2 linked regions of the Neurospora crassa OR74A genome follow. The protein of the gene in region 1 binds, or shares a complex with, the protein of each later gene. Links are inferred from orthologs where the notes say so. Each region holds a gene or a part of one and is shown on either strand. Other genes may lie near its edges.

Evidence for each region.
Region 2: the proteins of NCU16028 (region 1) and NCU05816 are in contact, whole or in part, in a cryo-EM structure (PDB 7Z10), measured with the Saccharomyces cerevisiae proteins. The link is inferred for Neurospora crassa OR74A from reciprocal best matches to the Saccharomyces cerevisiae genes COX2 and COX9. Residues at the interface, in NP_009326.1 of Saccharomyces cerevisiae: Cys23, Tyr24, Ser28, Ala29, Thr30, Glu34, Leu37, Glu38, Asp41, Asn42, Met44, Phe45, Leu48, Val49, Gly52, Leu53, Trp56, Met57, Thr60, Tyr65, Phe88, Gln212, Arg213; in NP_010216.1 of Saccharomyces cerevisiae: Ile10, Arg13, Asp17, Ile18, Leu20, Gly21, Phe22, Leu24, Gly25, Gly26, Met28, Ala29, Ser30, Trp32, Trp33, Phe36, His37, Lys40, Arg44, Phe47, Tyr48, Leu51.

The regions. Positions count from the first base shown.
Region 1 is NC_026614.1:57,651-61,765, reverse strand, and holds NCU16028 (cytochrome c oxidase subunit 2), read right to left. Parts: upstream 2,238-4,115; coding exon 1,485-2,237; downstream 1-1,484. Other genes in the region: NCU16027 (ATPase subunit 9), read right to left, coding at 2,934-3,158. UniProt on the Saccharomyces cerevisiae protein: Component of the cytochrome c oxidase, the last enzyme in the mitochondrial electron transport chain which drives oxidative phosphorylation.
Region 2 is NC_026507.1:3,921,724-3,926,334, forward strand, and holds NCU05816 (hypothetical protein), read left to right. Parts: upstream 1-2,215; 5' UTR 2,216-2,456; coding exon 2,457-2,489; intron 2,490-2,634; coding exon 2,635-2,677; intron 2,678-2,962; coding exon 2,963-2,993; intron 2,994-3,116; coding exon 3,117-3,204; 3' UTR 3,205-3,573; downstream 3,574-4,611. Other genes in the region: NCU17277 (hypothetical protein), read right to left, coding at 3,592-3,832, 3,953-4,176; NCU05817 (hypothetical protein), read left to right, coding at 4,287-4,361. UniProt on the Saccharomyces cerevisiae protein: Component of the cytochrome c oxidase, the last enzyme in the mitochondrial electron transport chain which drives oxidative phosphorylation.

The DNA of each region.
Region 1 (4,115 bases):
GGTTTACGTCTAAGACGCCTTGCGGCTCCAACATCAAACAATCTTTATTCAATGAGTCATTTTCGGGGGACCCCGCCCCCTTCGGGGGCGGGCCCATTATTTTATCCTCAACCGAAAGGATTAACTTTTTTCGCTACCCCCTCCAGCTTCGCTGGAGGGGGGGAAGAACGCGGAAACACCCACACCAGGAATCAACAAATTATTATACCCACTCCTGCAGTACTGCAGGGGTGTAGAAGGGTAACCACCCCCGATATGATAAAAGTATATAAAATACTTTTATCATATTTATTTATTTTTTTTACGATAAAAGTATAAAAATGTATAATTTTACCTTTTTTAACGGGGGCCTAGCCCCCCCCTTGAAGGGTACCCCACCGATATGATAAAAGTATATAAAATACTTTTATCATATTTATTTAGAACTACAAATATCTTTAACCCAAATAAAGCACCCCTCTCCTCCTGCAGTACTGCAGGGGCGGGGGGGGGTGCTTTCCAGTTAATGGGCCCCGCCCCCGAAGGGGGCGGGGTCCCCCGAAAATTAAGGGAAACCTTTCACCCGCCCTGCAGTACTGCAGGGGGGAGAAAATATTTAAATACCACCTTTCCCCTGCAGTACTGCAGGGGCTAGTAATGGATGACTACCATAAACTGAACCTAGAACTTAAATCTTTATTCGATGAAATCGATCTATTAAAAGGGTCCCCACAACGAAGTTGTGGGGTCCCCCGATTTAAGTTCGTAGGTTTATACACATGCTCCGCTGCCGGCCCCTCCCCTTCACCACCCTGCAGTACTGCAGGGGGATTAGAGTTATACCCTTACTAGATATACATAAACTTATTAATTACCTAATCGGGGGCTAGCCCCCGGTTCAGTCTTGGTAACTCTTTAAAAGGTTTTTGGATTTAAGCAAGGTTCCTTCCGCTAGGCTACGCCAGACTTCAGGAACTTGCTTGTTATTTTAACCCTTCCCCGCCCTGCAGTACTGCAGGGGGGGGGGCGGGTAGCCTTTTAAACCTAATTAACCTATAAAAATAATAATAATTAAAAGCACCCCCCTTAAGGGGGGGGTGCTTTCCAGTTAATGGGCCCCCCGCCCCCGAAGGGGGCGGGGTCCCCCGAATATTGTTTATAATATAACCCACCACCTCCCGGATGTTCCACTCCACTCGCTCCCCCCCGCAAACCTGCGGGGGGGGGAGCGAGTGGAGTTAATTCCGTTCCACTCCACTCCCCCCCTTAAGGGGGGGGGGAGTGGAGTTAATTCCATAAGTCATCCTCTTCATATTAGAAACTTTTTATCGCTACCCCCTCGCTCCCCCCCCGCAAACCTGCGGGGAGGGGGGGAGAGATAACCACTAGATGGCTTCATACTCAAATACATAGGGCCCCACGAATACCCCACACACCTTCGTGTGTGGGCCGTATTCGTGGGGTCCCCCGAGTTCCTTTATTTAGCCAAAAACTATTTTATCGTCTTACTGTTCTTCTAATCAAGTAAGGAATTTTTCTAGAGATACTGACTCTATAACTATAGGCATAGAACTGTGTAATATACCACAGATTTCAGAGCATTGACCATAGAATACTCCTTCTCTGTTAATAAAAACAGATACTTGATTTAATCTCCCAGGATAAGCATCACATTTAACACCTAAAGATGGAACAGCGAAGCTATGTATCACATCACCTGCAGTGATGATAAATCTAACGTGTGTTAGTTCAGGAAGGATAACTCTATTATCCACCTCTAACATTCTTAGTGCTCCTTCTTCCAAATCGGATTCCGGTACTATATATGAATCAAATTCTATAAATTCATCATTTGAATCTAAGAAATCAGGATATTGGTAACTTCAATATCATTGGTGCCCCTCTGCTAAAACTGACATTGAAGGATCACTAACTTCATCCATTAAATATAGCAACTTAAATGAAGGGAAAGCAATTAATATTAATATTACTGCTGGAGTAATAGTTCATATTAATTCGATTAATGTACCGTGATTTAAATATTTATGTGAAATTGGTGATTTTGTACTGATATAATTTCTTATTATAGATAATAAGATTCATCCTACACCAAATAGTATTACCACCAGATAGTACATAATATTGTCATGTAATTCAACTAAACCTTCCATCTGAGGAGTAGCACTATCTTGAAAATAGATACCTCATGGGCTTGGAGCATCAAAATTCATAATTAAATTATTAAATAATAATCCCATAAAAAAAGAAATAGAATATTCTATATTGAATATTAAACCATAATAATAAATATATTATATCTTTTCATAAAATATAGAATTTAAATATAACATTAAACTGTATTGTATATTAAGGCTAGGCTAATTCTTATCCACTAACGAAGTATACCCTGTGCCTAATGGGTTTTTATAGCCTGCTGCTCATAAGGTTAGGCTACGCTAGCGTCCTTTGTTTTTTCGGGGGACCCCGCCCCCTTCGGGGCGGGGGCCCAAAAAAATGAATTACCTTCGCTCAGCTTCGCACACTTCGCTCACTTCGCTCAGCTTCGCTCAGCTTCGCTCAGCTTCCCTCCCAAAAAAGTACCACCCTCCTCCACTCGCGTACCCCCTCCTTTGCTCAAGGTCCCCATCACATTTAATTATGCCCCCCTGCAGTATTGCAGGGCGGGGGAAAGATGGGGGCCGCCAAGGGGGGGGTTGAGTGGAGGAGGGTGGTCGCGATATTATGGCTAGCTAAATTATTAAGGCTGCTTCCTGCCTGCCTAGACTTCGTAGGCAGGAAGTAGGAGGGGGCCCCCCACGAATACCCCACACACCTTCGTGTGTGGGCCGTATTCGTGGGGTCCCTCGAAGCTAGCTAGCTAGCTAAGCAGGAAGAGCAGCCATATTTTTTATTTAAGCAGCCATACATCATTTTATTCCTAATCTCTATCATTACTATGCAACATAAAGAAGTAAAAAAGCCATCATCAAAGCAAATAATCCTGTCGCTTCCGAGAAAGCAAAACCTAAAATTGCATATGCAAATAATTGACTTTTTAACGAAGGGTTTCTTGAAACCCCTATTATTAATGAGCCAAATACAACTCCAATACCTATACCAGCTCCGATTAAACCTGTGGTAGCTAGCCCTGTTCCTATTATTTTAGCTACTTGTATCATTATATATACAATGGTGGAATCAAAAATTAACTAGAATCTAGTAACCTCTTCAATTCCACCACCGCAAAGCAGCAAATACCACTGAGGCTCCCGACAACAGTGTATTTACTGCTGTTGCAGTATATCTAATGATAATCAAGTAGCCATTAGGCTATCCCTAATGGCTACAATAATCATACGATAGCTAGCCAGTATATAACTGGCTAGCTATCGTAATCTTTAGTACATTACATATAAAGATTACATTACAATACATTACATTACATTACATGTAATGTAACATTACATTACAGTTACATTACTGTACATTATATTACATTACAGTTACATTATATTAAGTTACATTACAGTTACATTACAAAATATTACATTACAGTTACATAACATTAAGTTACATTAAGTTACATTACATTACATTAAGTTAAGTTACATTAAGTTACATTTTATATTATCTATCAGATGATTACATTTGCAGTACATAGTGGATATAACATTACATTACATTACATTACATCATTACATAGCATAATGTATCATCCATCATTCCCCTTACGTGATACGTACCAAATTAAATCACACATTAACATTATTAATGTTACATGGTGAAATAAATATTCATATTTATTTCATATTATTAAAGATAATCATTAAGTACGATTAGGATTAATCCTAATCCTAATCCGCACAGCTTAGCTCCGCTCAGACTAATATAATTAAATTAGTCGTCTATATATGCTATTAAAAATTTGGTTTATCGGTTATTTTTTTTTTAGCTAAAGCTAGCATTTTTTTTTTTAGCCTCTGGCCACCTCTTTAATTTTTTTTAGCTTCCCCCCCCTGCAGTACTGCAGGGCGGGGGGACGGCTAAAAAAAAAAATAAGCGCAAGCTATCCAGAGGCACGCCCCCTTCTCGAGGCACGCCACCCATGGTGGTGGGAACTCAGGATTCGAACCTTC
Region 2 (4,611 bases), on another chromosome or scaffold:
TAATAGTGTCGTGCAGGATGCGCATCATGGTATCTGGTGTACTCGTCGATACAGTCCGAACTAAATTTTCTTCAATTTAATACCTCTCCGACTTATGCCGATAGAGTCTTCCCTTCACCACATGTGTACCAGACGATCCACGCAAGGATGAGTTTTGCAACATCATCTGACCTTCAACAACACAATCCCTGGTTGTCTGTCAATTGGTTTGCGGCTATTCTTTACTATCCAACAGTAGTTGTAGTGTATGTGACGATGCGTTCTGCAGTGAGCTAGCTACAGAAAGACCTCCAGCACAAGATATTACTGGCGGCTGCAAGCGACGAATTGCTTCCCTGAGCTTGGCGATCGTCGAGAAGCTTTCCCGTCCCGTAGTTCACCGTCCGACGCCAATTTTCCTCACAGAGCCCACAAGCCCAGCGCTTCAGAGAGCGGCAAGAGCGGGAGAGCGCTACATGTAACGGCGGGGCCGGACGCTCTTCTGTAGCCATGTTTCATGATTAGCAGCGCTTGACCGTTGCGGGGAAAGCCTCATCCCCGCCCCCACAGTTCTCAACTTCTCGTGAGCGCCCGTCATCACACGCCTGTAACGCCCAGGGTTCAGGTCGGTCTGGGCTGCCCCGGGACGAACCCTTTCCCTTCCGTGCCGCGTACCTAGGCACCGAGTGCCCCCGAGAGCCCCGAAGGAGAACAACGCCCCGACGACCATGATCTTCACCTCATTTCATGTACGGTCAGAACAAGATGTTCGCAAGAAGACCGTAGCTTTTTACACCGCACGCCACAGAGTCTTCAACGGCGCTTCTACCCCCGGAGCCCTGATTGAGTGCATTGACGTGTTTGCTCCTTTTGGTGGCTGACGGGGCTGCTTGCACCTGGCAAGACATTAACTGTTACAGAAAGAAACAGGAGAAGCAGTTTGCCCCATCTTGATCAATGCCCTCGTAGATCAAATCGGTGCTCGACGTTGGGTCTCATGGAAAACGATGGGTTCTGTGAGTCGTTGTCATTTTTAAATTCTGAGAGGACGAAGAAATGGATGAACTTGCAAGAAATCAGAGACCCGGAAACTGCGTTGCGGGGTGATGCACTGACCACAACCAAGTGCCACGGTACATACCACCCTGCAGTCCTCTTTATATAAGTCTTGCAAGCACCTCCACAACATCAGGCGGACTGGCCACGCATCGGACTGATAATCAGTATAACCATGAAGAAAACGGCGAGCTTGGGAAATAACCAACCTGATTCTACACAATACGATAAATACTCGAGCTGACGGGGACGGATTACGAGTTCTCAGGCTCTGCTATCCTTCACATTCTGTCACTTGAGTCTCGAAGCACCTGCCCGAGACAATATCACCAAAGAGAATTTGCAAATTTGACTGACAACGTCTACAACGACTGTTTCACCAGGTGACTCCAAACAACAACTACGAAGCCGCCACAGTCCTGACGACGATACAGCTTTGAGGTGTCTCGCAGTCCGCCAAAAATTTCATCTATCGGTCTTGATTACGAACAAACTGTACATGTAGGTGTCCGCTTCGTTTGACCACCTCGATCTCTGGTTCGAATCCCTTCGATCCAATCGACAACAAAAATCTGTTTCTGAGCAACACCGCCAGTTGCAACTTTAAGAGTACAGGTGTCTCAGGAGTTCAGCCTCTACACCAGATGAAAGAAAATGGACTTTGAAAGCTGGAAGAACCTGGATATGAACACCGACACATGGTGATACTATTTCGGAATACATTTCCCGTTCATGGTTGGCCATACTAGCGACCTCCAACTCTCAAAATGAGCAGGCGTGTACACAGTCGGAATATCATCCATAGCGGACTCGGAAGGTAAGGATGCGCAGGGACACCAATTTTGAAGGATGCTTTGTGGTTGAACCTTATAATCCAACGGTTCTGAGACCTGGAGAGAGCGTGTAGTATTGGAAAGACATGCACAATAATGTGCATCTTGCCATAAAGTTGAGAAACGATGGACGTCATCGCGACTGGAAAGGCTGCCACCTTATCGATAAGTTCAACGCAGTGCTGCCGCTCCCCAGCCTTACGTAAGCCCACCACATACTGTGGTCGCGAGCGAAAGTAAAAACCCCCCTGTCAGGTACTTTTTTGCACGGACACTATGCGTTTAGTACCTACCCCACTTAATTAAACTTACCCATCACACCAAGTATGAAGGGAACGGTCCGTGATCCAAGATTTGCCGAAAACCCGCAGTTGCCGGCGCTCGCAAGCTTCCGTTCAGCAGCTGCGTCATCACGTGATATGAAGCTTGCAGCTCCCGTGCAGCGAAACCTCAGGTCATCCATTCGGGACAATCTTGAAGCTCCATTTTGAGAGAAGAGAGTTCCAAGCCGTCAAACCGCGCACCCTTCGCTACGATCCGCCCTTTTTTTTCGCAACCACTCAACCGAAACCAGCCCTCTTCGTCAAAATGGCCGCCACCGCTGTCAGACCCATCACCGGTGTACGTGATTTCCGAAGCCTGCGCAAAGAGGACGATTCAATGGCTGTTCGCGACGATGGATGACGGAATTGCGCAATGCCACCAGCGCTCGGGACAAGCTGGACTGGAATACAGGAGGACTAGGGGCTGACTGTTGGGTTTACAGATGCTCCGCCGGGGCCTCATCCTCGACATTGGCATTGCCCTCGGTGAGTTTGGAATTTCTGAATGATAAAAGAGGTGGTCTCTGAAATAAGGCGAAGACGGGAGGCGGGACACGGCGATGTGGAAGACAGAGCAAGAGCTAGGTCGAGCTTCGGCCGGCCGGTGGGCCGTGAATTGGCTACGCGCGCCAGTTACCTAGGATTGCCCACGGTCTCTCGTGCTGTCACCCCGCCATACCGACTTCCCGGAAGCCACCTCCTTCGTTGTTCTTTACCTTTCTTTATCACAAGTTCCCGATCAGCTGACCCTTTGTTTTCTTACTCTTTCAGGTGTCGGCTTCGTTATGGCCAACGGCTACTGGTACGACATATCCTCGATGAATCCTTGACTTTAGTTTGCACGCGACCCGAACCGAAGACGAACTCGCAAACAAATCTCCCGTGCCTTGACTCCGCGATGACTAACCCCTTCCATCACCCGCAGGTACGGCTACCACATGCCCCGCACCAACGCTCGTGACAACTACTACAAGAAGCTCGAGGAGGAGCGTGCTGCCCGCATGGGCGCCTAAATCGATCTACGGACTGGGCGACCGATGATGAAGAACGGAGACGACCTCGATCGATCGCGGAGATGAAGAAGTAACGCAATACTTGGAGCGATACCTGAGGAGGGGGAAGAAGAAGAAGGAAGAAGGAAGACTTGCATGTTGTATATCTACAGATGAAGACGGATAGACAAACATCGGCAATCGAGTCAGCCCGACCGATACGTATTCCTTACTTTCTCTTCTGCCTTGTGATAGACCATTTATAAAGGCCAGATGGTGGCCGGGTATTTCATAGACGGGACACGACGGGACGATGCAATGCAAAGCAACTAGAGATTAAGAACGGGATCCTCCTCGTTGGACACAAGACCAAGAAATTGTAAAAAGATGGGTATCAGAATAAAAACATCACTTTCTGTTCCACCATCTATCCTCCTTGTCGTCCTCTCTGCCCCATGTGCGATGATCGATCTGCTGGTGCTGCTCCTGCTCGGCCAATGAGCTTTTGTTGCTGGCCGATGTCGCTTTGGCTGCTGCTGCTGCTGCTGCTAACGATGACGATGATGATGTCGTTGCTGCCGCAGCCGCAGCCGCGGTGCCCTCCCAAGCCGTTGTCTCGACCGTAAAAGGCCCATTTTTGTCCCGGCATCTAGATGGTTTGGTTCCCCACGTCAATGTCAATGTCAACGTTTCCTTTTCCCTTTTTCTTTTTCCCCTTTTCTTCTAAAAATGCGACAAAGGGAATTTCCCCTTCCTAAAAAAGACATACCTGCGAAACAAGCGCTGCACTGGCCAACACTCAATCTGGCTCTCCCTCAACTCCGGGTCGCGCACCTGGCAGTCATACTGCAACAGACCAAAGAGCTCGCAATCCCGAAGTAGATCGATTCGTCGTCGACCACCGTCTTCCGTCTTGCGAACACGCTGATCGGGGCCGACTTGTATGTGGGTGGGCAAAGCCTTTGCTTTGAAGCTTTGACACGGCGGCGTCATTTTGTCTGTTTGTCTGTGGTGTCGTGGAAGGAGGGGTACTACTTGAGGTTTGGACGATGCGACGCGACTCGGAAAACAGTTCTTGAGGAAGAGAAACCCGCGAATCCGCGATGCAGAGGGCTGCTGTCGCTTCGGTCGTTGGGGCGCGGATGTTGAACGAGATTGAGGAGGGGAGTCTTGAAGAGGTAAGGTATGCTTTAGCTGATTGATGATCGATCGTCGTATCCCTGGATTCTACGCTTTTGTACAGGTGTTCCCGCGCGGGGCTCACTGGTGTCAATGGTTTTCGTTTGTTTGGGTTGTTGGAGAGAACTCCATGGAGGAGAGATGCCATCACGTAATTCCCGTCTTCCACCTTTTTGGTCCTTATCGCTGATACATGGTAAAAGTAGCCCACGCGCGGCTGTCCGGACGACGCGGTTTCCATTCTTCCCA